4 linked regions of the Saccharomyces cerevisiae S288C genome follow. The protein of the gene in region 2 binds, or shares a complex with, the protein of the main gene of each other region. Each region holds a gene or a part of one and is shown on either strand. Other genes may lie near its edges. The genes, in order: MRPL36, MRPL17, MRP20 and MRPL22.

Region 1 (7,745 bases), on a different chromosome or scaffold from region 2:
GATCCACCAAAGGGTTGCGCTTCTTTCAACGCTACCGTCATTGTTTTGAACCATCCAGGTCAAATCTCTGCTGGTTACTCTCCAGTTTTGGATTGTCACACTGCTCACATTGCTTGTAGATTCGACGAATTGTTGGAAAAGAACGACAGAAGATCTGGTAAGAAGTTGGAAGACCATCCAAAGTTCTTGAAGTCCGGTGACGCTGCTTTGGTCAAGTTCGTTCCATCTAAGCCAATGTGTGTTGAAGCTTTCAGTGAATACCCACCATTAGGTAGATTCGCTGTCAGAGACATGAGACAAACTGTCGCTGTCGGTGTTATCAAGTCTGTTGACAAGACTGAAAAGGCCGCTAAGGTTACCAAGGCTGCTCAAAAGGCTGCTAAGAAATAAGAGTAATAATTATTGCTTCCATATAATATTTTTATATACCTCTTATTTTTATGTATTAGTTAATTAAGTATTTTTATCTATCTGCTTATCATTTTCTTTTCATATAGGGGGGGTTGGTGTTTTCTTGCCCATCAGATTGATGTCCTCCAACTCGGCACTATTTTACAAAGGGTTTTTTTGTAAGAGAAGGAGAAGACAGATACTAAACCATACGTTACTCGAAACAAAAAAAAAAAAAATGGAAAAAGCTGCTATCAACAAAAGACGGCCTCATCAAACCTAAAGAAACCATGTCAGCGTATGTATATACCTTGTAATTTACGTTTCCTTAAATCTTCTTTCTACTAACGTTTTCATTATTCTATACTCTATGACCAATAAAAACAGACTGTACTTTCAAAATTTACCCAGTAGGCCAGCAAATAAAGAAAATTATACCAGATTACTTCTGAAACACATTAATCCCAACAACAAGTATGCCATTAATCCGTCGCTACCCCTTCCCCACAATAAATTACAAATATCATCACAACCGCTGATGTTACTAGATGATCAAATGGGCCTTCTTGAAGTTTCTATTTCAAGATCATCAAAGATGACTAACCAAGCATTTTTAACGTTTGTCACTCAAGAAGAAGCAGACCGGTTTCTAGAAAAATACACGACAACAGCATTAAAAGTTCAAGGTCGTAAAGTGAGAATGGGAAAGGCTCGAACAAATTCGTTATTGGGTCTTTCAATAGAAATGCAAAAAAAAAAAGGTAATGACGAAACGTACAACCTTGATATAAAGAAGGTGCTTAAAGCAAGGAAACTTAAACGCAAGTTACGTAGTGATGATATATGCGCCAAAAAGTTCAGGCTTAAAAGGCAAATAAGACGCCTGAAGCATAAGCTGAGATCAAGAAAGGTAGAGGAGGCTGAGATTGATAGGATTGTAAAAGAATTTGAAACCCGTAGATTGGAAAACATGAAGTCTCAGCAAGAAAATCTAAAACAATCGCAGAAACCTCTTAAGCGGGCTAAAGTGTCCAATACAATGGAAAATCCACCGAACAAAGTCCTTCTTATACAAAATTTGCCAAGCGGCACTACCGAGCAATTATTGTCGCAAATACTTGGCAATGAGGCTTTAGTTGAAATCAGATTAGTTAGCGTTCGTAACCTAGCTTTCGTGGAATACGAGACCGTTGCTGATGCTACGAAAATCAAGAATCAGTTAGGCTCCACTTACAAGCTACAAAACAATGACGTTACCATAGGATTTGCTAAGTAGAATTTCCTTTGCGGAAGTATACCTCGAGTAAAGAAATTCACAGATAAATTTGAATAACGTTCTCCATTATGAATAAATATGTATTTACAAGCTTAGAAAATAATGTGCTCTTTATTTACCAAATAATACAGTTCTCATTGCAGTAAATAAGCTTTCCTTTTTCTTACCGTCAACGGCATTTATTAACCGTTGATAATATTGGGGATTTCCTGCAGGTTTATAGAGCTTATCGCCAATATCGTAATAGTTTCTGAATTTATTATTCATTATAGTGCTCAAGGCACGAATTTGCTCGTTGATGCTTTCTTCCGTGAATTTCTCATCTACCATTTTATTTTGAATTTTGGTTAACATCTCCTTATTCAGTCCTAATGGACCGGAAGTTCTGTTAATTATACTTTTTATTTCATCTAATGAGGGTTTTTTCTCTTTTATAGATTTTCCTTTGTCATCTACATTTGGCAGACCCGCTACACGTCTAAATCTTGCTATTTGTACATCCCTGAATGAGACCAAGTGGTGTATACGATCCTTTGGATATTTTTCCAGTAAATTAACTAATTTTTTGGCAGAATCCCTGACGACCTGGGAAGAAGACATTTTGGCACTTGCTTGTGGAATACGGAGTTTAACTTGGTAAGCTGATAGAGAGAATGTTTCAATGAAGGCTACCTTTTTTTCTTATAATGTTGCTACCACAGGAAATCTTGATATACGTTAATGTTTTGGCCCCTACAAGGCCGGAAATATTTCGCTTTTTCTTGATATCAGAATTTTTCGCATGTCCGACCATGCGCAGAGCTGCTATGAAAGTACTTTAACTATTAGTGTGAGGAATGGCTAAATAAACAGCAGATGTGATTTCCGCACTTCTTTTATAAACTTCCAAAATAATCGTATTAGTGGACAGTACATAATCATATCTTGCAATACGTATCAATAGTAAACGAATTATTTATTCATACACACATGTATATACTTCTCGCTTCTTTTTTTAATTTACATGTTTGGCGATATATAGTTAAAATTAAGTCATTTATTTAGTCAGTTTCAGCTTCAGCTTCAGCTTGGGCAATAAAAGGAGTCAAATCCTTGGTACCTTCTTCCCAAGAAGCACCATTGTAAGTGATATCGCGGATAGCCTTGATGACATTTTCGACGGAACCTCTAACTTGCTTGGTGGAATCTCTTTCTCTCAAAGTGACAGAATGGTCTTTGGCAGATTCAAAGTCAATGGTGACACCGAATGGAGTACCTAATTCGTCATTACGGGCATATCTTTTACCAATGGAAACTCCAGAATCATCAATCTTAAATGGGATTTGAGACTTTCTTAAGATTTTGGCGACTTCAGTAGTAACAGGAACTAAATCTTTGTGGTTAGATAAAGGAACTAAAAGAACCTTTGTTGGAGCAACCAAAGGTGGGAAGGAAAGAACACTTCTGGCATTGTCTTCTGGTCTGTTCCAGAAAGAGTGCTCAAAAACGGAGTAGATGATACGGCCAATACCGAAAGATGGTTCAATGACACTAGGAACATATTCTCTAACGTGTTCAACCTTTGTTCTTTGTTCGATTTTAACCAATTTATCGTCCAACTCGACTTCGCCATCAACACCATCAACCTTTATAGTAAACTTGCCATTTGCCTTCAATAACTCAGCCTTGGAAGCCAAGTCATCTTGAGACATATTCAATAGATGAGATTCAACTTTTGGTGCATCTTTTCTGAATTTTGGACCGAACAATTTTTTCGTCAAATCAATTTCCCACTTGGTGACTTCAATTGGATTATCTAATTTTTGTCTAACAACCAATTTTTCTTTGGTCTTTTTGGAATGAACGGTCAAATCATAGGCAGATCTATCAGCACATCCGACACATTCAATCCACCCGTAAGATGTCTTCAATTCACCATCCCAACAGTCAGCAGCATAATGTGCCATTTCATTAGCCATATGTTGACGGAATCTCAATTTGGACTCATCAACACCAATTTTCATCAAAAATTGGTAAATTCTGGCAATAAAGTAACCCAAAGTTTCATTATCGACCATTCTTGAAGCAACTGCTTCACCAACTGTCTTGACAATTGGTTCAGTAGAACCAGCTTCTTGAACATCACGAGGCAAAAAGGAAAGCTTGATGTCTTTGATTTCATTAAATTTTGGATGAGATTTGTCCAATGGGTCAACGAAATGTTCAATCTCTGCCATCAAAAATTCACGGACTCTTAATAAACCGGCCCTTGGGGAAATCTCATTTCTAAATGATTTACCGATAGAGGCTGAGGCAAAAGGGGTCTTACTGTTGTTAAATTCTAACAACTTGTTAAAATTCAAGAATTGACCTTGGGCAGTTTCTGGCCTCAAGTAACCCTTTAATTGACCAGATGGGCCAATAGCCGTTTCAAACATCAGGTTAAAAGCCCTTGGAGATTCTAAAGTTTCTCCGGTGACTGGGTTACCGATATCGTATTTTTCCATCAATTCACCTAATTCTGGGCCGGAATAACCATCTATTTTAGCCAAAATTTCTTCATATTCTTTGACAACGTCGTCATCCAATTTGACTGCTTTAATTTGTTTAACTTTTTTCTTTCTCTTCTTCTTTTCGGCATCGTCCTTAGCAGCGGCATTAGCATCCTCGACTAAACCTCTGGCTTCTTGGTCACCCTTTAAGCGAGCTTCCAAAACTTCTTCGACTAAATGGTCAGCTCTGAAAATCTCACCAGTCTTCAAATCTCTACACATCCAATCAGAAAATTTGTCAACATGACCTGAGGTCTTCAAAACCTCATATGGAGTTAACATAGTACAATCAACTTCCAACATATCTTCTTCCAAAATAAAATGCTTTCTCCAGGCGTCAATGATGTTGTTTTGGAATGCACAACCTGGTGGACCATAGTCATATAAACCAGAAACCCCACCGTACAAGTCAAAAGCTGGGGCATAAAAAAATCTTCCTCTCAAAACACTTTCTAGCTGTTCTCTGTTAAATGGAACAGCGGCTCTAGCCTTCTTGATATCTTCTACACTCATTCTTTTAATCTTAACCGATTTTTTAACAATCTGAGAGTAAAATCGTCTACTGATATTGAAGAACGACAATTTTTCTTGAAAATCAACACGAATGCAAAAAGGGAAACTAAAATAAAAGAAATCCTCAAAAGTAATTGAACAGATTTCGAGTCCTAATTGCAAGTAAAATTATGTATACAAAGTACGTGATAAGTATCGCAGCAGTGATTCAACACTCGAGAAGAGTAAAAATTTTCAATTTTTTTCCACTGCGCTGAAATATTACGAGGCGTAGAAAATGATCACTACAATGCCGTTGCTGCTTATTGCAGCGTAAGTGAGCTTCATTCACAGACCATTTGCCTCGATAATCCATGAATCATATCTGGTTCATATTATGTTTGTAAATGTGTGTCTTGTTGCACTTAATCTATCGCGATAGCGCCAAACCAAGCGTTCGCAGAATCTTCGTTGTCAATATATACATATGTAGACGTATGTGTATATGTTGCGGTATATACAAGGCTGTTTATGTAGTCTTCAAACAGATGCGATTGAGATCTATGTCCCAAAAGGAATATAAATTGGTTCGAGAATAGAAAAGTAAGGGGAGCAAACACTATTCACTTCTTGTCTCTCTTCTTACTGGCCAACTTACCTGATTTGATCTGTTGTTCACTATCGTCTAACAGAGATAGATAGTCATCCATACCGAACGCTTTTTCAGAAACGTCTTCCTTCTCCTCCTTTTTAATCTGTGTTTTCTTTTTATTTTCTTCAGATAGTTCAACTGTTTCAGAGCTTGAATTTGGGGTCGTTGAATCGACAGAAAACAAAGAGCTATACCTCTTGTTAAATCTGTCCAAGCTACCACCAGAATTAGCATCCACAACGACTAGGTCATCCCTGCTAGGATTCCACAGCGGATTATTTCTCTGGTCTTGAATTAATCTAATTTCACCCTTTGGATATTGGGATCTCCGGATAACTACACTTCCATCACTCAACTCCATTTTGACATTGAATTGGTGATAAATAGCCGGTCGTGACTTCCCCAGTTGAATTTTTTTTGCAGGCCTTCTTGGCAAAGTAATTCTTGTAGAACCAGGATATGACCCTGTGGAAGCAAATCGCTTCGCAAATATAGACTTCAACATTAGGAGTGAACAAAACGTGTGTTCGTTTGCGTTGGTACCCGTTCTTTCTGGAGGCATTCTTAACTTTTAGGAATAATAATGATACCCTTTCATTTTAGTTATTTGATTTTGATGCATTTTGCACGAGATAATCGCTCTTTACGGTTTGGGGACAAAACTCAGAAATATCACATACGTAGTTATGGTTTTATTGCACATTTGGCATATTTTGATATTGAAATAAAAGAAAACCTACTTATTACAGATCGACTTCATCAACAAATCCCTTGAGCTCGCTTTTCATTGTTTCCGCGGTTTTAGGATCTAGTTTAGCTATTTTATTTATGATATCTTGGAAGCTCGCTGTTTTAACATCAAAACTTTCTTGTTCTTCTTCATCTGCATCAACGTCATCCACGTCATCGTCTATACTTGCAGGCACCTTCAAGTTCTGATCAGTGTCCATCTCTTCATTTTCCAAAGCAGCGTCGTCTGGCTCTTCAGTTATGGCGCCATTATCATCAAAATCATCACCAGCAGCGATACCCTTATCCTCCTCTATGGCATTTGAGGACATTTGACTACCTGCATCCATATTTATGTCCCCATCAGCATCTTTATTGGTGTTAACACCCATTCCCTCTTCTGAGTTCTTGTTTTCGGGTACCATGGATTCTTTAACAAATAACATTGTCTTGAAATACTTCAACTTGTATTTATTATACTCATAATTTCCTTGAACCATGCAACCAAGTTCGTATTTTACTATCCTTCTTATCTTGACCAAGTCTAATTCTTTGAACCATCCAGTTAGTTCATTCGCCTTATCTAAATATTCGACGTTGTGAAAAACTTCTGCAATGTTTGGCTCACCAATTAATAAATCAATCTGCAACATCAGGTACCACGGTATTCTTTTTCCATCAAATTTGAACCTGCTGTCAATACCGCCTGGAGTGTCTGATTCGAATACCAGGGGTGGTGGCTTTGGTACATTCTTTTTCACTATGGGAGAAGATAGTAATTTCCTTTCAATCTTAAAATATTCTGTTTGATATTGGGCGTATTCCACTGAACTTCTGGGGTCTATACCAAATTTGATATATGTATTTCTCCAAGGCCCCATTGTGAAACGATAAGATATGAGTGCCAGCGCTATCTTCATAGTATGGTGTATCTTCTTCGGGACAATCCCATCAAGATGTCTTTTAACCCAAATTGGACGTCTAGCGAAGAGCTCTCTCAAAATTTTCAAGCATTCCTCCAGCGATTCATAAAATTTAGAGTCACTTTTAGTGCCTGGATAGACTTTTGTTTTCTTCGCGACCTCAAAATCGTACAGGACTTGTTCATGAGCTTGGGACGGTATAACTGTCTTATCACTAAGATCATGAACAAACAACTGATAGTTTTTGATATATGTTCCCTTCACTTCTGTGACACCGTTTTTTTTTTTTTTCGCAAATGGATTAGCTTTATATTTATAAAGCAGGGGGAAACCAACCATTGATAACTTAGGAGGTGGCGGCAGTTGGAAATCTGTACTCGGAATTTTAACGCTACGGTCTAAGATCAAATTCCCGATGTTTTCCTGAGGTTGAGAGTCATTATCTGGTACAGAATTGACAAAACTTTTGAAATTATTCCATTCCAGAGAGCCAAAGCTACTTTTGAACTCTCTTGCAGAGGGGACATTATCCAGTTTGATTTGAAAATCTGACATTTCTCTAAATTTTATAGTGTTATCTACTATGGAAACAGGAGTGACTCTCAATTTATTCGAATCTTTTAAGGATTTGATAGAATCTTTGACGCTATTATTATTTTTACTTAAAGTTCCCTTAGGCATTGTAACCTTTAATATGACCGACTCATCTCTGAAGGGAACTCTTTTACCAATTACAGGATGCTCATTAAAAT
Region 2 (8,153 bases):
AAATTCTAATCGACCCTGGACTTGGTTTTGCTAAGACCTGGAAGCAAAACTTACAAATTATTAGACATATCCCCATTTTAAAGAACTACTCATTCACCATGAACTCAAACAATTCGCAAGTGTATGTTAACCTCAGAAATATGCCCGTTTTATTGGGTCCATCGCGCAAAAAATTCATTGGACATATCACAAAAGATGTGGATGCGAAGCAAAGAGACTTTGCTACTGGAGCGGTGGTAGCGTCGTGTATTGGTTTCGGCAGCGACATGGTTAGGGTCCATGACGTTAAAAATTGTTCGAAGAGCATTAAATTAGCAGATGCTATTTATAAAGGTTTGGAATAAAGGTTAGTTATATAGATTAAATATGTAATTCTGTTTTGTAATAATTTTTTTTCCTGTTTCATAATAAAGAATCGTTAAAAATAACCAAGGGAGGAAACAAGTGAAATGAAGTATAGAAAAGATATAGAAAATAAACTTAAATATTCAGTTTACTTGTGCTTCTTTTTTCCCCTCTATGAAATATAGCATGATAAGTGATTGTTCCTTTGTTTTTTTCAGTGGATGTTTCACCTAAGCCTTTGGACAATCCTTGGAAATATGGCCAGTTTCGTTACAGTTGTAACAAAGCCTGTCATTTTGACAGTCCCTGGACATGTGGCCAGCTTGACCACAAGTGTAACATTTCAATCCACTAATTCCGTCCTCTTTCATACAGTCCTTAGCCATATGGTTTGGACCACCACATTTATAACATGAAACTTTGGAGAATCTGCTGGTCTTCTTTGGTTCAGGGCATTCTCTGGAGATGTGGCCGGTTTGGTTACAGTTGAAACAACGTTGCACAGTACATTCACTTCTAACGTGACCGGTTTCACCACAATTGTAACATTGCTTGAATTCAACTGTTCTTGGCATGGTACAATCCGTTTGAACGTGACCGGGTTTGTTACAGTTGTAACATAGTCTTTCAGAATCACAGTCTTCTGCCAAATGGCCAATCTTACCGCAAACGTAACAAGCTTTTTGAGACATCTTTTTCGTATTCTTTTCTTTTTTCCTGATTTCTGAAGGGAAAGCCTTAAAATAATACAATCCTCAAGTGCCCCCAAAGCAGAAAGAGCATTTCTAATCCATCGATGACCTTATTACAACTCTTGCCAAAAGAGAAAAGGAACGAAAAGAAAATTTTTTCAGCATTTCGTCTATCATGACACCACAGCAGTTCTTACTATAAAGCTCAAATCCCTAAGCCATAAAGGCAACAAACGGCAATATACTACCTGTTTAATCGTGCGTATCCAGTCGCCATCTCCTGCTGGAATAGTTATGAACATCGAGTTTCAGTTCCCGCAGACGGTCTTCCTCTATGGCAGCTTCCCATTGCTCAATTGGATCAGAGTCGGCTACTATGATACCGTATTCAACTGTATCCTCGAGTAAGTCATAGGCTAGCATCCTTAATTCGGGATCGTAGTAATATTCCTTCTCGTTTAATTGTTGCTTTGGATGTTTATTCGGTGTCTTCGACGAGCAAGATTTATTCGAGAGATTTAATTGGTAAATACAAAAAGACGTAAGGGTTTCTGGAGCCAAAACGTAGTTACAGAAATCTGTTATCCCCCACCATTTTAAGGTTGCGGGCTGATTGTGCGTGAGTGCCCTTTTATATCTCTTAGCGATTTCTTCGCCAACCCTCAATTGCCTTTTCAGGCCGTAAAATCCAGCAGTAAATTTGTTTAAATTCAACTTTCTAAACTCATCTACGGACAAGTAAGCCTTTTGTGAGTTTTTGAATGCATTTTTTGCTTCAAAATAGTATACAGACGATATCTTTCCCTCCAATATGTCCATTACAATGGGCATGAAGGGTTCTACTTCAGTGAGTAGCTCATCCGAAAACAACATGGGTGGTAGTTTGAACTTGCTCATGTATTCTTCCCTTACTTGAAGTTTTTTGATTATCTGCTCTTTAGAACTCAAACAACTTTGTAACGATAGCTTTTTATCCTCGGGAAATGAAGAGGAGAAGATTTGGTTATCTTCAACTGCCGATAGTTCTGCCTCCAAGAGTAATTTTTTACCGTCTAAAAGATTATTGTTCCTGCATTTGATAGACTCGATATCTTCATTTTTCAAATTCTGTATTAGTGGGATAGAAACGACCTTCTCTTCTTCTTTTTCTTTTCCTCTGAGTGCTGCATTCTTTGCGGCTTGTACTTCTGAATTTGGAAATGACCTCGAAAGTTTATCAAATGTGGCCACAGTGGAAAGCTTTTTTACTTCAATCTCATCTTCTGTGATACTGTCTATTTTGCCGCGCTTTTTTGAGGGGGAAAAGGCATCATGGCCTGATAAGTCGTCACTTTCTCTATCATGTATGTCATGTTTTCCTTGTCTTTTCATTAACAGTAAGTTATCACCACTTCCCTTTTTTGTGGAATAAACACCTTTTCTCCTCACTCGATTAATTCCCAGACCAGGCCCAACCATCTCTGTCTACGCAGGTCAAAAATTTGTGCTAAGGTCTCGAGAGCACATACAGTACCCTTTTAATGTGATCTCATCGCTACATTTTTCAAAGCTTCCCATTTTAGCGACGCCATCTATATATAGGAAAAAAAAAAAGTTTAGGACGCTATTTACCACAACAATTGAGATGCAGCACAAATAGGAGTATCATTGCCTCCCAATTTTCAAGGGAGTTTTCAGAGAATTACTATTCCATACCTATTCAATTACTGGAGTTGTCTTCAGTATCATAAAGGGTTTTGGATTTTCAATCGAATTGCCATTTTTTTCCTGCTTACGTTCGATAGATAGCCAAATGCAGTTTATATATATGTATGTAGACTTGAAGGTATATTAACAGTGCCCATGTTTCTTTGGAAAGTGTCAAATATCGCAAAGCATAACCTTGAAGGTTAACATTATTTTCTAGAAATACACCTTTCCCACTGGATATGATGACGGAAGAAACAAAACGTTAAATTATTGTACCGTTGTATAAAACAGTAACCGAGCATGGACAATTCATTTTTACACCCCAACGACGCCACTAACCATGTATAGGTGTCTTGCCTAACTTATCATTATTCATAGTAGAATTAAGAAAATTAAAAGCCTTGCACCACAGGTTACGTACATAAGATATTATGTTAAATATATATCTCTTCAGTATTTCTACGTACAAAGCTTCACTCATTGAGGTTTGATTGGTGTACAGCTACATACATAAAAAGGATCAAGTGAACTATTCGGCATGTCGACAATTGGAGCTGTTGATATTCTTAATCAAAAGACCATAACTTCTGAAGTGGCTGCCTCAGTGACTTCAAAATATCTACAAAGTACGTTTTCTAAAGGTAATACAAGTCATATCGAAGATAAAAGGTTCATTCATGTCAGTTCGCGTTCTCATTCAAGATTCACCTCGACTCCCATAACTCCAAATGAAATTCTTTCCCTAAAATTTCACGTATCAGGTTCATCGATGGCGTATAGTAGAATGGATGGGTCATTGACCGTTTGGTTTATTAAAGATGCAAGTTTTGACAAATCTGTAGAAGTTTATATTCCAGACTGTTGTGGTTCCGATAAATTGGCTACTGATTTGTCCTGGAACCCTACTTCTTTAAATCAAATAGCTGTCGTGAGCAATTCATCAGAGATATCCTTACTCTTAATCAACGAAAAATCGCTAACGGCATCCAAATTAAGGACCTTGTCATTGGGAAGCAAGACTAAGGTCAACACATGTCTTTATGATCCATTAGGAAACTGGTTATTAGCTGCCACCAAATCTGAGAAAATCTACTTGTTTGATGTGAAAAAGGATCACAGCTCTGTCTGTTCTTTGAACATCAGCGATATAAGCCAAGAGGATAATGACGTTGTGTATTCCTTAGCATGGAGCAATGGTGGAAGTCATATATTTATTGGCTTTAAGAGTGGTTATTTGGCCATTTTAAAAGCAAAACATGGCATATTGGAGGTTTGTACCAAAATTAAAGCACATACTGGTCCTATAACCGAGATCAAAATGGACCCATGGGGAAGAAACTTCATTACTGGGAGTATCGATGGGAATTGCTACGTATGGAATATGAAGTCACTATGTTGTGAATTAATAATTAACGATTTGAACTCTGCGGTAACAACACTAGACGTCTGTCATTTGGGTAAAATACTAGGAATTTGTACAGAAGATGAAATGGTATATTTCTATGATCTTAATAGTGGTAATTTACTCCACTCTAAATCTTTAGCCAATTACAAAACCGATCCCGTTTTGAAGTTTTATCCTGATAAATCATGGTATATCATGTCAGGCAAGAATGACACACTATCAAATCATTTTGTTAAAAACGAAAAAAATCTAATAACTTATTGGAAAGACATGTTCGATAACACGATGATTGAAAAACGTAGGAAAAACAACGGTGGAGGCAACAACCACAATAAAAGGACGAGTAAGAATACTGATAGGATTGGCAAGGATAGGCCGAGTAGATTCAACTCAAAAAAATAAGTTACCTGATGGAAGGAATGCGGTAGAAAATGCACATTCTTTTTCTTTCATTTAATGATATTTACATGTGATTGACGACAACCTAATATATAAATATATATGCACGCATATATTTTGTATATGTAACGTTAAAAACGCATCTGTTTTTGTGATTTCAATTATCCGCTAAAAGAAATTCTGTTTTGTTAAAGTAATCTTTTGGTACATATTCACTGATCTCACCTTTTGTCAGCCAAGCAAAATCCTCGAATGCATCATTTTTCGACGCCACCAAATCAAATTTTCCAGCCAAAATGTGTGACTTCACAATAAACTCAGCAGTCCTATTTCTCTCGTCCTGCAAAACACCTATGGGCGTAGCAGAAACAGACCAAGTGTATATCTGATCACCGCTCAACAATTTCAATTCGTTCTCTGCGTGTACGTGTAACGGCTTAGATTCATCAGAAAGATCGAAGTTAGGGAATTTCCAAGTACCGCTTTTATCCTTAACCAAAAGATATAAGGTCCTGCTCAATTGTCTTTCAAGGCTCTTCATATCATTTGACCTATCTGCTTCCGTTATCCTGTCGTTGGGAATCACGGGCCTATTAACATCGTCTTTGCTTTGCTCTTTTTGATTGTTGCTAAATGCTACTGTACTGTCATCAGAAAGTTTAACTTCTTGCTTAGTACTTCTTTCTCTGCCATGTTTAATGTCCGGTATGCCTCTAGGAAACCAAATGCCATTTTTTTTGGAGATAGGTCCTTTCTGCAGGGATAGAAATTTGTGTTCTGCTACAGTACCCTTTTTGAAATAAAAATATGCCGGAAACGTCCACATTAGTCTCTTTTCTAGTTCTGATTGGTACTCATAGTATTTTTTCTCTAGTTCATTTAATTCTGATTTAATTATAGGGATTCTTGACAGTAGTACTCCGACTTTAATCTTGGGGGGAGCGGAACTGGCAGTTGCAGTTGCAGTAGCAAGCCCTCTTTTCAACATTAAATTTACCTTCATGGTACTGGATAAGCGCTTATGATTACGTAGAATATAAAGTTTATTGATTGTTTAACTGTTTTCTTTCCTTTTTTTTTTTTCATTTTCATTTTCATCTAAACCTTGAAAAAAAACCAGGAATACGGTAAAAAAAGAGAATAAAGAATAGGATAATGCTACATTTGAAACACAGTAGTTATGTGAATACATAAGGATGTCCATTTAACAAAAAAAAAAAAGGAACATAGGAAAAAACAGAAATTATATATAGAGGTAGATTAGTTTTATGTACTATGAGCAAATAAAGGGTGGAGTAAAGATCTTAGCTTTGTTGTTGTTGCTGCTGCTGTTGGTTAAGCATATTCATCAAAGAATTCAATTGAGCAGTGGGGTCAAATTGTTGCTGAGGTACAGGGGGAGCCGCTGCGGCAGGTCCCTGAGAAGGTAATGGTTGGTTGGGGGCATAACCATACGGTTGCTGCATCATAGGTTGCACATATTGCTGTGGTGGAGGAGATGCCAATGGTGCATTGCCGTAGGGTACTGGAGATATCGACGATATGCTACCAGATTTGTTAGGTTTACCAGAACGTGGCCCATTTCTGCCAGAATCAGTAGGCATCTTTTGAGATATTGCCTTGGAAGAAACACCTTCACCAACGATAATATCCGGTTCTTCGAAAACAATACCGGTAACGAGAGGTTGACCAGAAGTGCCACCCCATTGCGCACTTACTGACCATTTTTTATCAGCGTCCGTGAGCCTGTGCATAGGAATAATACTGTAACCGTGTTGATAGTCACAACAATCTCTTGGACCAAAACCAACTCCCCACCTAGTTCTCAATGGCAGGGCTCCATCTTTATTGAAGTTTTGCAAAACATTTTCGGCCTCATGTCTTGAATAAACTTTCACAAAAGCGTGTTTTCTGGAGTTATTCAGAATGACGCTTTGTACTTCAGCAAAAGGTTTTAAAACGTTAGCAAGGTCCCATTCCTTCATGTTTAGTGGTACCCCACCGATGAAAAGAGTACGGCTGTAGACTTTAATATGATCTGGTGGCAATGTAGAGTCGTAACTTACTGGTTTTGGTCTATAATGAGGATTATTGGAAACATTAAGCTCATCGGGGTATAAGTGGTGATTGTTTGTGCCAAATGTCGTATTGGGGGCGCCTATGCTGTATTGGTCCTGGGCCACAGATGGATAGCGGTCCTTCCTGCCTGTCGATGGCTGAGAAAATGGTGCCGGAGGAGATCTTGATCTATTCCTTCTTGAGTTATATCTTTCTCTTTCACGTTCACGTTCACGTCTGCTACCATATTCGGTAATTGTATGGGCTTGGGGAGGTGCGACTGTACCCACGGATGTATGTGAAGGCAAAGTTTTAAAATGTTTCTGCAGAGCCGCTATTACTTGGAAAAGAGCTGCTTGCTGTTTGGCTGGATCTGTGGAAGTCAAATCAGTTGGAAGACTTATGTTCAAGTTTAAAGGAGGACTTTTCTTTAGATTTGACAAGATTTGTTTCGACCTCTGCTTGGGATCCAGTGATAGTTGTTGTGAAGCGGTGTTCGCGGTGTTATTCGATATGTCCATAGCAAAGCATTTTGACCTGATGGCGTTCAAGTAACTCTTTTGAAACAAGCCGGACCTGTCCCAAATGTCTAAAAGCATACGAATTTTTTCCTTGTGGTCTTGATTACTTTTTGCAATAGCATCGGATAGCAGTTCTTGAATTACTTCGCCCAACGTGTTTATGGCATGGGCACAAGTACCGGGTTTGTTGCTGCTGCTGTTTGAATTTGATCTTGTTTCATCCAAGTAAGCTCTACCTATTGAATCGATGATATATAAAGAACCTAATTTATGAGAATCGGGACAAAGTCTTGAGTAGTCTATTATCAAAGATATGATTTTCGATTCAATATCAATGTGATCAAGTGCGTAAGTGGTTAGTTTCTTAATACGAGAACCTGAAATACCAGATTTCAAATCTTTGAATGATTCCAAGGTAGCTACAAAATTTTGAAAATCGTCGTCCTGCTGCATTATGGGATGTTTAGTATGTTTGTTGCTTTCCGGTTCCTTTCCTGTAACTCGTGCTTGGAGAAAAGTACTAGAAAAAATGTGTAATCAGAGAAAACTACAATACAAAAAAATAGACAATAGTATATTTTTCTTTTGCTTGAAATTATAGGTTGTAGCAATGGATACGGTAACGTAACTAATTGTAAGAAGAGCCTTGATTGGTGAGTTAGTTGTGTACAATACGATAATACGATGCGATACGATACGAAAACGATACAATAAGGTTGCCGAGTACTGACTTTTGATATGTTAAAAGCATGAAACTCGTAAAGGGAAGGAGCGGGGAGTCATGCTAACGAGGAATGGAACATGGAGGAAGGACGAAACACTTGCCCTTTTATACTTTTTCTTTTTCACCTCCTCCGCTCCGACCGGTGGCAAAAAAAAAAATCAAAAATGTACCGTATGTAATGACCAATAAATCACCAAAGACGAAACATTTATTTTTGCCGCCGACTTTCCAATGAATTTGCTCAATTTCAGGTTAGTGGTCATAAGGATATCTAACAAGCCATCAAAAGCATAATGTTTTTGAGTACTCGATAGAATTAT
Region 3 (7,953 bases), on a different chromosome or scaffold from region 2:
GTCTGGCCATAAATAAAAGGGTTCTCTTGCCAAGAAAAAATAAAAAGGCGCCTTAAGGGACCTTCTATGACAAATATGGTGAGGTATGCAACCTCAATGAAGAGCAATGAGAAAATTTAAGGGGTAAGTAAGCATCGGAATTTGTTGTTTCCTAACAATTTGTCTAATTTACTCAATAATATCAGGAGAATTGATCGAAAAAAGCAAACCAGGAACCCCTCACAAATAAGGGAACATAAAGTAATTGCTCGTCTTTACATACATGGCACTCAATCCCAGACGTCGCGTGCTAAAAATCCTTATATTATTGGCCCCTCAGGAGTTTATTTGAATTTTGATTGCATTGCTTTCAGTGGACAGTATATCATAAAATTTGCAAGGGCATAGTGCCTGCCCTACGATGTTGTAAAACAATTTCTGAAAATAGGTTCAGAATCAAAAATGATGTATAAATATTGAAATAAATTTTCACATAAATTGTGCTCCTCCGCAAAGTCTTGACTAAATAAACAATTTGTTAATATCCTAATTCGGTAAAGCTTTGTCGAGACATTAACAAAAATGACATTTACTAGCAACTTGCCCTCAAGCTCCGAGCAGTCAATATCACCACCTGCCTCTTCATTTTCTTCATCGACTGATACGTTGAAAGATATTGATATTCCCCATAATGGGGCCGATTTGTCTACATATAGTAAATTTCTGGCCCTGTATTGCAGAAGCGACAAATGTGACGATTTTTACTCTTTAGAGGAAAAACAGAATTGTAAATTTGGAGACCAATGGCTCGACTTTATCAACACTATTCACAATCTGGACTTTTCTGAATCCGAAGTAAGTGGACGGGTTTCTGAAAGAATTTTGCCAGCTTCTTTAGCAAATAAATTTACCAATAATTTAGGAGTGGCAATAAAGATTTCTGAATATACACGCGATGACGAACGCCAGATTCGTGGGTGTGTTACAACAGTTGAGAATGAAAATTCTTTCAATAACTGGTTCGTATATCATATTTTAGACCAATCTCAATTATCTCTAAGTGAACATCCAATTGTAACCAAAGAAGTTAAGTATCACGAATTATTTGCAGATTTTTTTGAGAAAAATTTGAAAAACACAATAGTTAATGATCAATGGAATTTTGGTGGCCGTGATTATTTTATTGAACGTTCAAGATATTTTACCGATCGATATTTGAGAATTGAATGCATCTTGCCAGCGTTTCCATGTAAGTCATCTAATGAGCAAAAAGTGTACGGTTCCGTTCCTGACAAAGGCGAAGAACTCGCTTTGAAAAGATTAATAAAAGCCACACAAGACCTTGTCAAGATATATCCACCGGGTATGAAAATTTGGATAGTTAGTGATGGCCATGTTTTCTCCGATTGTATTGGGGTCGATGATGACGTCGTGAGTACTTACACGACCAAATTGCACGAACTGTATAAAAGAGTGGCTATACCTGGTGTTGACGCCATTGGCTTTTGTGGATTGAACGATTTATTTTTTAGCGGTGCAGCTAGTAAAGTTTTCGATCCAAAGTGGGTTAGTGATGTTGAAGTTGCACACTACACAGGAACTCAAATCTGTCCTAAGTCCGATTTGTCGAGACAGATTTTGATGAAAGGCTGTGATACAGATGCAGGTCGTTTGAGAAAGCAGATTGCAATAGAAGGACATCCAAGATTGCATCTGTATAGGGGCTTTTCACGTTTTATGATGGAAGATTTATCTCTACTGGAACATTTCCAAAGTTATTCCAGAAAAAAATTCAAGAAAATCATTTCAATGATCGCTTTTAACATGATTAAGAGAAATGACGCGTATTCGAACTTAGTGGAATTGATATTCCCTCATCATTTGAGAATTTCTATTCATGCGCACACTAACAGCGGGCCCAAATTTGGTATAAAAGTAATCTCCAACGAACAGTGTTCTATTGTTAGTTCGTTAGAAGACCTTGATGAACCCAAATTTGAAGATTTTTTACATATTCCCACACCTTGGCATAATTGTGTCGTGAAGGTTGAGGATGAAAAGGAGAAATACTTTTTGACAAAATCAAAAGTAGTCAAGGAGGCTCTCGAAAAGGGTATGTATGATGGTGTATGGAAAGATACTCGTTTCGATATTGGAGAAGGAGGACATTTCGTTATCAAGAAAATCTCTTAATAAAGTAAGAGCGCTACATTGGTCTACCTTTTTGTTCTTTTACTTAAACATTAGTTAGTTCGTTTTCTTTTTCTCATTTTTTTATGTTTCCCCCCCAAAGTTCTGATTTTATAATATTTTATTTCACACAATTCCATTTAACAGAGGGGGAATAGATTCTTTAGCTTAGAAAATTAGTGATCAATATATATTTGCCTTTCTTTTCATCTTTTCAGTGATATTAATGGTTTCGAGACACTGCAATGGCCCTAGTTGTCTAAGAGGATAGATGTTACTGTCAAAGATGATATTTTGAATTTCAATTGACGTAATTAATGATACTATTAATAATACAGAGCGTATATGAAGTATTGCAAATAACATGCACAGTTCTTTTGGGATGAGAATGATAATGAAAGGCGAAGGCGGGCGTTCAGAAAAGCGTTGCGGAGTAACAAGTGATTAAATAGCACCCAAATAATCTTCTTTGATACTACCGATTGCGTGAATAGAACTCACTTGACTGATACAACCTTCAATTTTAACTCTAATTCTACTTTTTATGGTGATGACATCCTCGGAACTTTGGTATGATGGTGGGTTTGAACCCGCATTAAAGGTTAAATCTTGAGGCATCAGATGCTTTGTCACAAATACTTTCATTGGACCTACTTGCACTTCGAACCCGTGCTGAGAACATGAAACGACTGTGCCGTCCACTACTTCCCCTTTAAATGGTTTGAAAACTACAGCTCTATATTTCACGTTGAACTCGGCGGACCCATCTGTGGGCAATATTCTCCCACGTTGAATATCTATATTATCATAGTCTAGGACACAAAGAATATATCCGAATTTACCCGTACACGAACCTTCAACCTCTTCCAATAGTTTTGTCTTTAGATATTGCTTCATTCGAGGACCGAAAAAGGACGGATGAAGGGTAATATTAAGCGAAAGGTCTTTAATAAAAAACATTCTCAGAAATTGAGTTATTTATACAGTGGTTGAAATGTGAATCTATTCTTGGACTTTCCCACTGTCTAATCGCAAAGGAGAATGGTGTAGGAGGAGAAACGGAAAAAGAAAGGCTATGATATTCTGGGAGAAGAGATAGGTGGACAGACCTGATCGACCCAATGTTAGAGAATAAATCGACGAAGTGAGCTTGTCTACGTTATTGGCATTTTCACTGGGATATAGGAATACCGCATTTATTTTCCTTGTATTTTTCAAAATAGCCGTTGAAACCCACAGAAGATCACTTAATACGTAATCGCGTTATACGAATTTTCTCGATGAAAAAGGGAAAACGATGGTATTAGAACTTGAAATGTACATACATTTCTTGTGGAGAACGTAACGCTACTAACAAATAATGTGCTTTGATTAGCAGGCTCCAACAGAAAAAAAAATAAAATAAAAATAAAAAGTACGCAACACCAACACAGAATATGCCACGATTGACGGTTGGAACGAAGAATATGTTGTATCCTTTGCAAAAAACACTTGCAGTAGGAAGTTGCAAGCCAGAGCAGGTTCCAATAAGATCACTAGCCTCAGTGGTGGAGAGTTCCTCCAAAATACTCGACAAAAGCGGCAGCGATCGCGAAGTAGATATAAACGTAAGCGAGAAGATTTATAAGTGGACAAAGGCGGGCATAGAGCAGGGAAAGGAGCATTTCAAAGTTGGAGGTAACAAAGTCTACTTTCCCAAGGCCAGGATCATCCTCTTGAGGCCCAACGCGAAGCACACACCGTATCAAGCAAAATTCATCGTCCCAAAATCGTTCAACAAACTGGATCTCAGAGACTATCTTTATCATATCTACGGCTTAAGAGCAATGAACATTACGACGCAGCTGCTTCATGGGAAGTTTAACCGTATGAACCTACAGACGACGCGGTTTAGAGAACCGCAGATCAAGAAAATGACTATCGAGATGGAAGAACCCTTCATTTGGCCCGAAGAACCCCGTCCGGACGAAAACTCCTTCTGGGACAGCACCACGCCTGACAACATGGAAAAGTACCGTGAAGAAAGACTTAACTGCTTGGGCTCAGACGCCAACAAACCCGGCACAGCATTCGACGGAGTCGTGGGGCCTTACGAACGGGTGGCCCAGCCTTTTATACCTCGCTTCTTAAAACGAGAGATAGACAATAAGCGAGAGCGTCACGCCGCCGAACTGCAGCGCGCAGATAAACTAATTGCCCTGAACAGGTACATAGAAGATCTACATTAGAAGGTTTCCCATTCCACCCCTTCGTTAACCCACACGCAAATACCCAGATAAGCATCTTGCACCCCTCACACTTGTATATACGGAGCAAACTACATAATCTCTAAACAGAAAAAAAAAAAAAGAAAGAAAATTAAGAACATTACTTTTTCCGAGCAACAAACGCAAAAATATATGAAGTGGCTGTAGAACATGCCTTACGGAAGAAAAGAATGATGATGGCATCCCCTTCCCCTGCCCTGGAAGGTGGCCTGTATTTCTGTTCTTTTTTTATTTTTGTTCGCGCAAAGAGCAAGAACATTGGTTGCTTTACTTATTATTTTCAGGGTCGCTTCCGCGGGATGCCATGCACGGATGCCTGCGGAGACAGTGGCGCGGAGCCGTCCGCATGCTCGTTCCGCGGAGAGTCTCGAGCGGGTCCGCGAGGGGCGGATCTGCAACGCACGGTGCCGGGGTTAAGGTATGGCACGATGGTAAGACGATGAGGGAAAAGAATACTGCTACTGCTGTGCGAGACTTTGGTAGTAGGGATCGGAAAGGGAGCATGTACATCTGAGGAATATATAAGCAGGAGCTCTCTACCTGGACCAAATTGCCTTCTTATGTTGCTGTAAAGAGATTTGCTAGTCTTGTTGTAGATACGTCATATGCAGTATTCAAGTATACTACTGTTAAGAACATCACATCACTAATACTATTAGCGTATAACAGTTACTATACGAATATATAAACACACACACACACAAGCAAACACACTTATAATTATCAAAAACCTATGTCATCAGATATCAGAGACGTAGAGGAACGAAATTCGCGGAGCTCGAGCTCAAGCTCGAGCTCGAACTCTGCCGCCCAATCCATTGGACAGCATCCATACCGCGGTTTCGACAGCGAAGCCGCGGAAAGGGTGCATGAGTTGGCTAGAACACTCACATCGCAGAGTTTACTATACACTGCTAACTCAAACAATAGCTCTTCCAGCAACCATAATGCGCACAATGCGGACTCGAGATCCGTATTTTCTACGGACATGGAAGGTGTGAACCCGGTGTTCACTAACCCGGACACCCCGGGATACAATCCCAAATTGGACCCTAACAGTGATCAATTCTCCAGTACGGCGTGGGTACAGAACATGGCAAATATTTGTACTTCGGACCCGGATTTCTATAAACCATACTCACTCGGTTGTGTATGGAAGAATCTAAGCGCCTCCGGAGACTCCGCCGATGTGTCATACCAGTCAACTTTCGCTAACATCGTACCAAAGCTGCTTACGAAAGGGCTCAGATTACTGAAGCCCAGTAAAGAAGAGGACACTTTTCAGATCCTGAAACCCATGGATGGTTGTCTTAATCCCGGTGAACTGTTGGTTGTTCTTGGGAGACCAGGGTCAGGTTGTACTACGCTGCTAAAATCCATATCTTCTAATTCGCACGGGTTCAAGATCGCAAAAGACTCCATTGTCTCTTACAACGGTTTGTCAAGCTCGGATATCAGGAAACATTACCGTGGTGAAGTCGTTTACAATGCGGAATCAGATATTCATTTACCGCATCTTACCGTGTACCAGACGCTTTTCACCGTGGCAAGGATGAAAACGCCGCAAAATCGTATCAAGGGTGTTGATAGAGAAGCGTACGCCAATCACGTGACAGAAGTTGCAATGGCCACATATGGTCTTTCGCATACAAGGGACACCAAGGTCGGAAACGATCTAGTCAGAGGTGTTTCTGGTGGTGAAAGAAAGCGTGTATCCATTGCGGAAGTCGCAATCTGCGGCGCCAGATTTCAATGTTGGGATAATGCCACCAGAGGTTTGGACTCTGCTACTGCTTTAGAATTCATCCGTGCTTTAAAAACCCAGGCTGACATTGGAAAGACCGCGGCTACTGTGGCCATCTATCAATGTTCTCAGGATGCTTATGATCTTTTTGATAAGGTCTGTGTCCTGGATGATGGTTACCAGCTTTATTTTGGGCCCGCTAAGGATGCAAAGAAATATTTCCAAGACATGGGCTACTATTGTCCTCCCAGACAGACCACTGCAGATTTTTTAACTTCAATTACAAGTCCTACTGAAAGAATTATTAGCAAAGAATTTATCGAAAAAGGTACTAGAGTGCCTCAAACGCCAAAGGATATGGCCGAATATTGGCTACAATCAGAAAGCTACAAAAATTTAATCAAGGATATAGACTCTACATTAGAGAAAAACACAGATGAAGCACGCAATATTATCAGGGATGCTCACCACGCTAAACAGGCAAAAAGGGCACCACCTTCCTCTCCATACGTTGTCAACTACGGAATGCAAGTCAAATACTTGTTGATTAGAAATTTCTGGAGAATGAAGCAAAGTGCTAGTGTTACTTTGTGGCAAGTCATCGGTAACTCTGTCATGGCTTTCATCTTGGGTTCTATGTTTTATAAAGTGATGAAGAAAAACGATACTTCCACTTTCTATTTCCGTGGTGCTGCAATGTTTTTTGCTATTTTATTTAATGCATTTTCGTGTCTTTTGGAAATCTTTAGTTTGTATGAAACAAGACCTATAACTGAAAAACACAGAACTTATTCCTTGTATCATCCAAGCGCTGACGCATTTGCGTCTGTTTTGTCAGAAATGCCGCCAAAATTGATCACTGCTGTCTGCTTCAACATCATCTTTTATTTCCTAGTTGATTTCAGGAGAAACGGTGGTGTCTTTTTCTTTTATTTTTTAATTAATGTCATTGCCACATTCACTTTATCCCATTTATTTAGATGCGTGGGCTCCTTGACCAAAACATTACAGGAGGCCATGGTCCCCGCTTCAATGTTATTATTGGCAATTTCTATGTATACAGGGTTTGCCATCCCTAAAACGAAGATTTTAGGTTGGTCCATTTGGATTTGGTATATCAACCCGCTAGCCTACCTGTTTGAATCTTTAATGATCAATGAATTCCATGACCGTAGATTCCCTTGTGCCCAATACATCCCTGCTGGCCCTGCTTATCAGAACATCACAGGTACTCAACGCGTCTGTTCCGCAGTTGGTGCTTATCCAGGTAACGACTATGTGTTGGGTGATGACTTCTTGAAGGAAAGTTACGATTATGAGCACAAACATAAGTGGCGTGGGTTCGGTATTGGTATGGCATATGTTGTTTTCTTTTTCTTTGTTTATCTAATTCTTTGTGAGTATAATGAAGGTGCTAAACAAAAGGGTGAAATGGTTGTGTTCCTAAGATCTAAGATCAAGCAATTGAAAAAGGAAGGTAAATTACAAGAAAAGCATAGGCCTGGAGATATTGAAAATAATGCAGGCAGTTCTCCAGATTCCGCTACAACAGAAAAAAAAATACTAGATGATAGTTCTGAGGGATCGGATAGCTCTTCAGATAATGCCGGATTAGGACTTTCCAAATCTGAAGCAATTTTCCACTGGCGTGATTTATGCTATGATGTTCCTATAAAAGGAGGTCAAAGACGTATCTTAAATAACGTAGATGGTTGGGTAAAACCAGGCACTTTGACTGCCTTAATGGGGGCGTCAGGTGCAGGTAAAACAACT
Region 4 (8,040 bases), 130 kb from region 2:
CCACATCTTTGTACGAGTTCATCTATTTCCTCTTGAGACACGTAATCGGAGTTTGCTTCCTGCAATTTTTTCTGAGTTGCCGGATCATCTCTTAGGTCACTTTTGGTGCCTACCAATAGAATTGGATACTTCCCTAATTTAGTATAAAGAGAGGTACCTTCAATATTGGAAGTCTGCTTCAGTTCAGGTAGCCATTTTTCTGTGACATTGGCAAAACTAGCATGTTCGCTTACTGAGAAACATATTAAAAAAATATCTGTTTGGGGATAACATAACGGTCTTAAACGATCGTAATCTTCCTGTCCTGCAGTGTCCCATAAATTGATTTTATATAGTTTTCTGTCCGTACTTGGTGAAGAACTGGCAGATGAAAGTGAACCTCTTTTATCATTACCATTGTCAAGCTCTAGGGGGCTACTCGCAGTTCCGTTCGGGATAGCTATCGTAGTAGAATAATTATCAAAAACCGTTGGAACATAGTCTGTTGGGAACGAATTGGTAGTATATGATATTAGAAGTGACGTTTTACCTACTGCACCATCACCAATTATCACACATTTAATAGACCTCATCAGACTTATTAGTATACTATATTGTATTTAATAAATATTTCGGCGTGTGCTTTGTGGGTGCCACCTGTCTTGTATTTCCTATCCAACTGAATATTCTGGATATTGTCTTGTGCAATAGACCGGAAAAAAAAAAGTGAATGTTCCAACGCTTTGGAATACAATGATGGGTCAAGGATCGTGCTTTTGTTCGTTGGTGGATCGGCCGTACGTGTTTAGTGAGGGTACTATTTAAACTTACTTTAAATAGCAAAATAGGAAAAGCTACGAGAAACTGAAAAGTAAAAAAAAAAAAAAAAAATAAAAAAAAAAGAAAAAAAAAGGAGAAACATGATTGCCAGTACTCGCAAGAACTAAGATAGAGAGAAAAAGGACGATATATCAAGAAATAAAAGGGAAGGTAATTCAAGTAAGCACTGCTTAGCTGTCTGCATAGGAGCCTTCTGCAATTACTCATCTCATCGTATTCGTCATAACCCGTTACGTAACTGATTTGACCAAGAAGCGTAATGAAAATTTTGAGCGGACGCCGAAACGTTGTTTTTTTTTTGCTTTAGTCCAGATAATAACCTTTTATAATTTTCTTTTTAGGGAGGAAGACCGGTCTAAGCTCTTAGAGGTTCTCGCATACCCAAGTAAAAGCTAAGACCGAAGCAAACACGCAGGATAATTTTCCGGTTTACTCTCACTGCAGCTTTAGTATAGATGCAGATCTGGTATTGAGAGAGGGGGGCCGGAACGAAAAGATTCAGGGGAGAGAAAGGCCCGGGCGTCGGGGAACAAAACCACTTTTGCACACCTTAATTTTTTAGCTACTCTGTTTCTCCGGGCTTGTATGGCACATAAATAAAATTCTGCTACTTTCCATTATCTGGTCATCACTTACCGATGTGGAGAGCCTTGCCCTTGAAAAATAAGATAAGACCTCCGATTAGGGTATTTGAAATTAACCGCTGTAGAATGAAATAAGGACGCTTGTTTGACATTTTTTAGTTGCTTTCTCTATCTACCACCATTTGCATCTTGATTTATGTCTTGTTTGAGGAGATTTCGGATAAATATTCTTCGAGGGGAAAATGTCGTAAAAATAAAAACAATAAAGAAACAAAACGATTAAAAGAAAAACTCAACCATCCTCAAAAGTCCTCCTCTTTTTTTTCACGTGCTGCGCTGATGTAAGCAGCAGGACATGGCAGGAAGAAAATCGGAGAATTGTGGCCGCGACACCTGACAAACAATCCTCAGGCAAATGTAAAATTGTACATGAAAGGCTGCGTAGTCAATGTCTTAGAAGGCCGGCCCGCATGATCCAGAAGCAGACCATAAAAAAAATAAAAATTCGCGGTCTGGCAGCAGGCATAAGATGCATAGCGTTATCCTAAATGACATCACGATGATAAATCCTCCGCCGCATGATGCTTTTGATTTGCCTAAGGGCCTGCCATCGTGCTGGCTCAAACTATTGAGGGTCAACATACCTTGAAAATCCAAGTAAAAGGATGGATATCGTTATACTAAAAGCAACACAGAAAAGGTCCACGTCAGTTCCACACAATAACATTTACGTAGTGTTCACGCGAAGCAGTTACATCTCAACTAACATAATTGCTGGTGAGCCTACAACACTGCATGCGTAAACGTCAACGGGATTACGTTAGTATTTTTGGCCGCCGGTAAATTCTCTTGTTTTTTTTTCTTGATTTCACTTCTTTTCATGTTCCTTTGGAATAATCTAATTCCTCATGATTAAATGAGACTGTTTTTTGTTTCCGTAACATCCATACCTTTCCTGTATAATATTCTTGCTGTAAAGTTTGTTTTTTTTATGAAAAAAACATTTTCTTTTCTTGAGATGAGGCGCCGCGAGCCTTTCTCCCATGGGCAGTGGTAAATTTTCCAAATCAATGCAGCTCTTTGAAATACAACAGCATTTTTCATACATTTTAAGCAATTTCTAGTTTGTAGATATTGTTAGATTAGTTTTTGAACATTGTTTTGATAACTGAAAATAAAACAGCAAACAAACTACAAAAATGGTCGCTTTAATCTCTAAGAAAAGAAAGCTAGTCGCTGACGGTGTCTTCTACGCTGAATTGAACGAATTCTTCACCAGAGAATTAGCTGAAGAAGGTTACTCCGGTGTTGAAGTCCGTGTCACTCCAACCAAGACCGAAGTTATCATCAGAGCTACCAGAACTCAAGATGTTTTGGGTGAAAACGGTAGAAGAATCAACGAATTAACTTTGTTGGTTCAAAAGAGATTCAAGTACGCTCCAGGTACTATTGTCTTATATGCTGAAAGAGTTCAAGACCGTGGTTTGTCCGCTGTCGCTCAAGCTGAATCTATGAAATTCAAATTGTTGAACGGTTTGGCTATCAGAAGAGCTGCTTACGGTGTCGTCAGATACGTTATGGAATCTGGTGCTAAGGGTTGTGAAGTTGTTGTTTCCGGTAAACTAAGAGCTGCCAGAGCTAAGGCTATGAAATTTGCTGACGGTTTCTTGATTCACTCTGGTCAACCAGTCAACGACTTCATTGACACTGCTACTAGACACGTCTTGATGAGACAAGGTGTTTTGGGTATCAAGGTTAAGATTATGAGAGACCCAGCTAAGAGCAGAACTGGTCCAAAGGCTTTGCCAGATGCTGTCACCATCATTGAACCAAAAGAAGAAGAACCAATTCTTGCTCCATCTGTCAAGGACTACAGACCAGCTGAAGAAACTGAAGCTCAAGCTGAACCAGTTGAAGCTTAGATTTAATTATTAAATACATAAATAAACTATAAGTACAATAATTTCTTCTATTCTAGTGCACTTAATTGTTGCGGTTTCTTGCATATTGCCGTGTTTAGTCAGGAGGGTGCACGTTGAAGCAGTGCGTTGAAACTAGTTGTTATTTACAGAATCACAATATTATATAATCAAAAGAAAAGTTTTGTACAACACAACTGTGAATATAGGTTAAGAAGTGAGTAGCAGTTCATCTTTCTCAGCTTACAGGACGATTTCTCGGATATGAATGAGTTCGCTATCGTTTTCACCACTTGTATACGCCGCCTGTAACACCCCTAATGGGCTTATCTCCCAACTGTACCCATGGCGCTCTTTTTTGCTCTTTTAAATGTGCTTCATAAGCAAGTCTTCGTTTCGTAACACTCTTTGTTCTCAGAATACATCTGACATGTATGTAAGGATGACTTATGATTCCGATTCTTGTCCTTGCCTTGAATTCAACACGTTTTCTCCAAAACCCGTCACTCCCTGTCCAAATCTGAGAGATATATAAGTCCTCTGGTTTCAAACCTAATTTTTGGCCATCTTTTACACCTTTTTGAAGTAGTTCTGCTACTTCGCGAGCAATTTTCTTATTAGAAAAGTGACACTGAGATATAGCTTTCATAACGTCGAGGCCTCCCAATAACCTCAACAAAAGTGTAGCCTTTTTCATCGACGATTTAATTCTATATGACTGAGCATATACGGAAGGTTCTAGTACTTCAATTTCTCTTTTTGTTAACTTTAGCTTGTAACGTTCGCTAGAATTTGGTAACTTTACAATAGTATCTTTCTTGTAAAACCCACCATTAATTTTACAATTAGCTTCATATATTTCCCTTTTCAAAGGAGATAATAAGCTCTGTGATGCTAATTGTTCCGGTTGCTGCAACGATATGATATGTTGCTGTAGTAGTTTATCGTTTTCTATGGTTATTGAATCCCTATTAACTTCAGGAGCCTCTCCAGAAGAATCAGAAGCAATCGCTAACCTATTAGAGAAGCTGCCTGCATCTTCATCCCCCCTGTTTTTTCCTTCCTTTGGTTTATTTTCTGTAATGCTTCCGAATAGTGATCCTCCTGAATTATTAAGACTTATTGGCGTTACATGAATCCAACGTCTACTTACAGAAGAAAGTAGAGCCCTAGAAATGACACCGACCTGAGATATTCTTGCCGTGTGGAAGTTCATTTTCTTTAATAAAAAAGATAGGGTGAGGTGAGGTTCTCTGACTTGCTATGCGGCTCCTAATGGCGTATGTTAAAATGCCTTCCAGATTGGATAGTTGACTTTTATTCAAAATCCCGAGTACAGTGAAGGCTTAGTTACCCCGCCCACAGAAGATTAATAGAATATCATGAGTACTGTTCAAGCAGCAAGCAGGAGAAAAGACTGAAAGAGTTTCGTATAATTTAGTATTTATTTATTTAGGAGAACTAAAATATTTTCTTTATACACAAAGAACAAAGTTTTCTTTTTTTTTCATTGCAGAATGGTATCATTGTTTTTTATGCCTTTTAAAAGGCCTTGTCGTTCTTCACTATTGGCAATAAAGATGTTTTTATGATTTTTAATAGTAGTGTTATTCAGCAAGAGCTGATTTTGCTTAATTAGTAAACATCATACTAATAGACTGAAGTCATCGTCATATAATTTCCCTCAAGAACCCTTGTGAATTGTTCTGAACTGTATTTCTCTCATCATGAGAGATGTCATTATCTAAACCACGTCCGAGTCGTATCGAATTTGAAGATAAAGTAGAAAAGCCACCTTGAGTAGATGAACCCAATGACGAATATGTAAATGAAGAGCCATAGGAAAATCTGTTTTCCTGGTCCATGAAATTACTCCGCATATTTTGAAAGGAGCCATTCATTGCGGTAACATTCCTTGGTGGTGGCACTGGAGGAGGATTTCCTCTTGCCTTAAAATTGAATTCGTTGCTGAACGGATTATTAGCAGAAGCAGTCTCGGTGTTTCGTTGCTGTGATCCCGAGTCTTGAGCTTGAAGTGACGCCTCTTTTGCTTGGGCAGTTGTTGGGAATCCCGTTCTGCGCCCAATCTCGTGACAGAAGGAATCGTTTTCCTTGAAATGCCTCTTTGCCTTCCTTTTTCTAACCAGCATGAACCAAACTACTAGTACACATATAAGAATACCACCGACGCTTCCTACCACACTTCCAACAATGGTACCAGTATTTGTCTTTGAAGTGCCTTGGTTTTTGTTATTATCCAAACTGCCATCAAGCCAGTGCTGATAGAAAGACATGTCAGCTGTGATCGTCGAAGATGGAGCGGAAAATGAGGTTACCTCACTTTTTGCAACTGCTATGGTCGTAGGTAATCCCGTCACGAACGTTGTAGAGGAGTCAGTAATATCATATGTTTGGGTATAGAAATAATAAATAGTTTTTGAATCTTCGGAGCTTGAAATGGCTACCGTATTGAAGACCTGACTGGATGTTGGTATGGGAGACGTAGAAATCGTACTAGTGCTGGGTGTTTGAGTGGTGGGTGGTATACTGCTGCTAGTAGTAGATTGTAAGGACTGAAAAGTATACGTGCTTGAGTAAGCACTTGTTGTATCATCTGATGATGATGATGATGAAGGACGGTTTGAAGGTACTTTACTGCTGGATGAGCTAACAGAACTTGACGTTGGCACGGAAATCGTGCTTATGGAAACTGTCGAAGATGAAGCTGATGGACTGAGTTTCGATGATTTGCTTATGGTTGAAAAATCGTTCGTCGATGAAAGCGATGAACTGTAAAACGATGTGGAAGTATTCCGACTGGAACTTGGGAATGTGGTATCTTTATTTGATATCGTAGAAGGAGAAGAAATTGTTGAGAACCAACTAGAAGAGAGTTCTGAAGTGGTACTAATTTGAAATGAAGTTGCAGATATGGAAGACAAGTATGTGTAACTAGGGGATATTACGGTGGGTGTTGATGGTGAGAAAATAGAAGATCTGCTGTCGAACGAAAACAATTTAGTGTCTGAATATGATGAAGATAGTGATAATGACAACGAGGACGATACCAGTAACGAAGATGGTGATGATAACGACGACCATGATGATGACAGCGATGTAGCTGATGACGATAACGTTGGTGTTGTTGATGTTAACGATGACCATTCCGACGTTATTGACGACGATGATGACATTGGTGACGTCGATGAGAAAATGGACATGGATGGTGTAATTATTGAGTATGAGGAGGTAGCTGGGTCATATTGGGAACTATACGTATCTTGCTCGCTCGATGAACTGCTGTCGGTAGATGATACTAAAGTACTTGTCGAAGATACATCAATGGATGTATGCAAAGTCTCATCATATGTTAAGCTTGTAGAATAATATGTAGGAGTAGCTGTACTAGACACGGGCGGTAATGAGGTCAGACTTCCTTGTTGGGGTACTAAAGTTGAAGTAGATGCGAAGACAACATCCGTTGATCGTGAATTCAGACTGCTACTTGGTTCACTGAATGACAGGGATATCGTATCAGATTCTCCAAGGGTGGTCCTTCCGATGGTACTATTGGAGTTCATACGATGGCCAAAATAATTACTCTATCCAGCTTTTCTTTTAGATTTCCTTCAGATATCGACGGATGGGGATTGAAATACTAAATGTGTGTCTTAAGCGAAAGTGTGCCAACAACCAGTCCAAAAAACGGATCAGTAGTGTTTCGGTACCTGGTGAGTAGTTTAGGATTTTATGAGTGTACGGCGATTATCAGTGTATTACTAATATGCGAACCGCTCCTAAAGATCTTGTTTACCTCATTTCTTTCTTCTTTTTTTTTTTTTTTTCCGTGCGTTCTCCCCGTGCCTTGATAAGCAATAATGGAAAAAATAAAAATAGCAGCAATTGGTTATACAATGTATATATAAAACATGAATGATTGAATAATTTACAAGCGAAATAATCGCATTATATACGTGGCACCTACAGTCAGTTCACGCTGATTAGTCAAACTTCACTTTCTTACCTTGTGATGGGACAATAGCTGCAGAACCTCTCTGAGCAGTGGCTAAAGCTACACTGCTCTTAGTTCGGTTATTGGAATCTACAGGTGGACGTCTGTTGGCGTTGGACCGCTTGTATTCGGGTTTGCTGCCGTTATCCTGTCCCGCACGATCGTATCCTTTGTTGTTAGAGATATCAAATGATGAGGAATTGTTTCTGGATACATTTTCAACCTTCTTACGAACTTGTCTTTTACTTCTATCTTCACCGTATTCCATTCGCAATGGCCTTCCGGCAATTTTTCTACAACTTTTATCCTTTAATGCATTAGTAGATCCTTCTTCATTCTTGAAGTCGATAAATGCGAATCCTTTACATTTACCACTATCTTCGAATGTTGCCATGCGGATTTTCACGATATCACCACAATGTTGGAAGTGTTTTCTTAACAGATCATCTGTGACATCGAATGACAAATTACCGACAAATAGAATCCTTGACGGTGGATTTTTGGACATGGCAACTAAATCGTCCTTGTCTGGCCTACCTGAATAATTTTCGGAGTCCTTGATTAGCATATTCCTTCCGTTTAAATGAGATTCAGATAATTCTAAGACCGCTTTCATCTGCTCGACGTTCTTGAAAAACATGTAGCAAAATCCCTTATTTTTCATGGCGTTAGAGTTCTTGGCAGCAACACGAGGCATGGATAACCT

The links.
Region 1: MRPL17 (region 2) and MRPL36 share a complex: the UniProt entries of both Saccharomyces cerevisiae proteins name them as parts of the mitochondrial large ribosomal subunit.
Region 3: MRPL17 (region 2) and MRP20 share a complex: the UniProt entries of both Saccharomyces cerevisiae proteins name them as parts of the mitochondrial large ribosomal subunit.
Region 4: MRPL17 (region 2) and MRPL22 share a complex: the UniProt entries of both Saccharomyces cerevisiae proteins name them as parts of the mitochondrial large ribosomal subunit.

The regions. Positions count from the first base shown.
Region 1 is NC_001134.8:478,658-486,402, forward strand, and holds MRPL36 (mitochondrial 54S ribosomal protein bL31m MRPL36), read right to left. Parts: upstream 5,847-7,745; coding exon 5,313-5,846; downstream 1-5,312. Other genes in the region: TEF2 (translation elongation factor EF-1 alpha), read left to right, coding at 1-390; MUD1 (Mud1p), read left to right, coding at 681-688, 778-1,666; CBP6 (Cbp6p), read right to left, coding at 1,778-2,266; GRS1 (glycine--tRNA ligase), read right to left, coding at 2,707-4,710; transcription factor TFIIIC subunit TFC1, read right to left, coding at 6,085-7,745. UniProt on the Saccharomyces cerevisiae protein: Component of the mitochondrial ribosome (mitoribosome), a dedicated translation machinery responsible for the synthesis of mitochondrial genome-encoded proteins, including at least some of the essential transmembrane subunits of the mitochondrial respiratory chain.
Region 2 is NC_001146.8:166,754-174,906, forward strand, and holds MRPL17 (mitochondrial 54S ribosomal protein mL46 MRPL17), read right to left. Parts: upstream 5,534-8,153; coding exon 4,688-5,533; downstream 1-4,687. Other genes in the region: trifunctional dihydropteroate synthetase/dihydrohydroxymethylpterin pyrophosphokinase/dihydroneopterin aldolase FOL1, read left to right, coding at 1-344; mRNA-binding translational activator GIS2, read right to left, coding at 576-1,037; RTC4 (Rtc4p), read right to left, coding at 1,290-2,495; TEX1 (Tex1p), read left to right, coding at 3,265-4,533; Nrd1 complex RNA-binding subunit, read right to left, coding at 5,835-7,562. UniProt on the Saccharomyces cerevisiae protein: Component of the mitochondrial ribosome (mitoribosome), a dedicated translation machinery responsible for the synthesis of mitochondrial genome-encoded proteins, including at least some of the essential transmembrane subunits of the mitochondrial respiratory chain.
Region 3 is NC_001136.10:1,274,041-1,281,993, forward strand, and holds MRP20 (mitochondrial 54S ribosomal protein uL23m MRP20), read left to right. Parts: upstream 1-3,605; coding exon 3,606-4,397; downstream 4,398-7,953. Other genes in the region: DIT1 (Dit1p), read left to right, coding at 562-2,172; DNA-directed RNA polymerase II subunit RPB7, read right to left, coding at 2,614-3,129; ATP-binding cassette multidrug transporter PDR15, read left to right, coding at 5,170-7,953. UniProt on the Saccharomyces cerevisiae protein: Component of the mitochondrial ribosome (mitoribosome), a dedicated translation machinery responsible for the synthesis of mitochondrial genome-encoded proteins, including at least some of the essential transmembrane subunits of the mitochondrial respiratory chain.
Region 4 is NC_001146.8:300,078-308,117, forward strand, and holds MRPL22 (mitochondrial 54S ribosomal protein uL22m MRPL22), read right to left. Parts: upstream 4,539-8,040; coding exon 3,609-4,538; downstream 1-3,608. Other genes in the region: Rho family GTPase RHO5, read right to left, coding at 1-572; 40S ribosomal protein uS3 RPS3, read left to right, coding at 2,603-3,325; TDA7 (Tda7p), read right to left, coding at 4,993-6,903; NOP13 (Nop13p), read right to left, coding at 7,324-8,040. UniProt on the Saccharomyces cerevisiae protein: Component of the mitochondrial ribosome (mitoribosome), a dedicated translation machinery responsible for the synthesis of mitochondrial genome-encoded proteins, including at least some of the essential transmembrane subunits of the mitochondrial respiratory chain.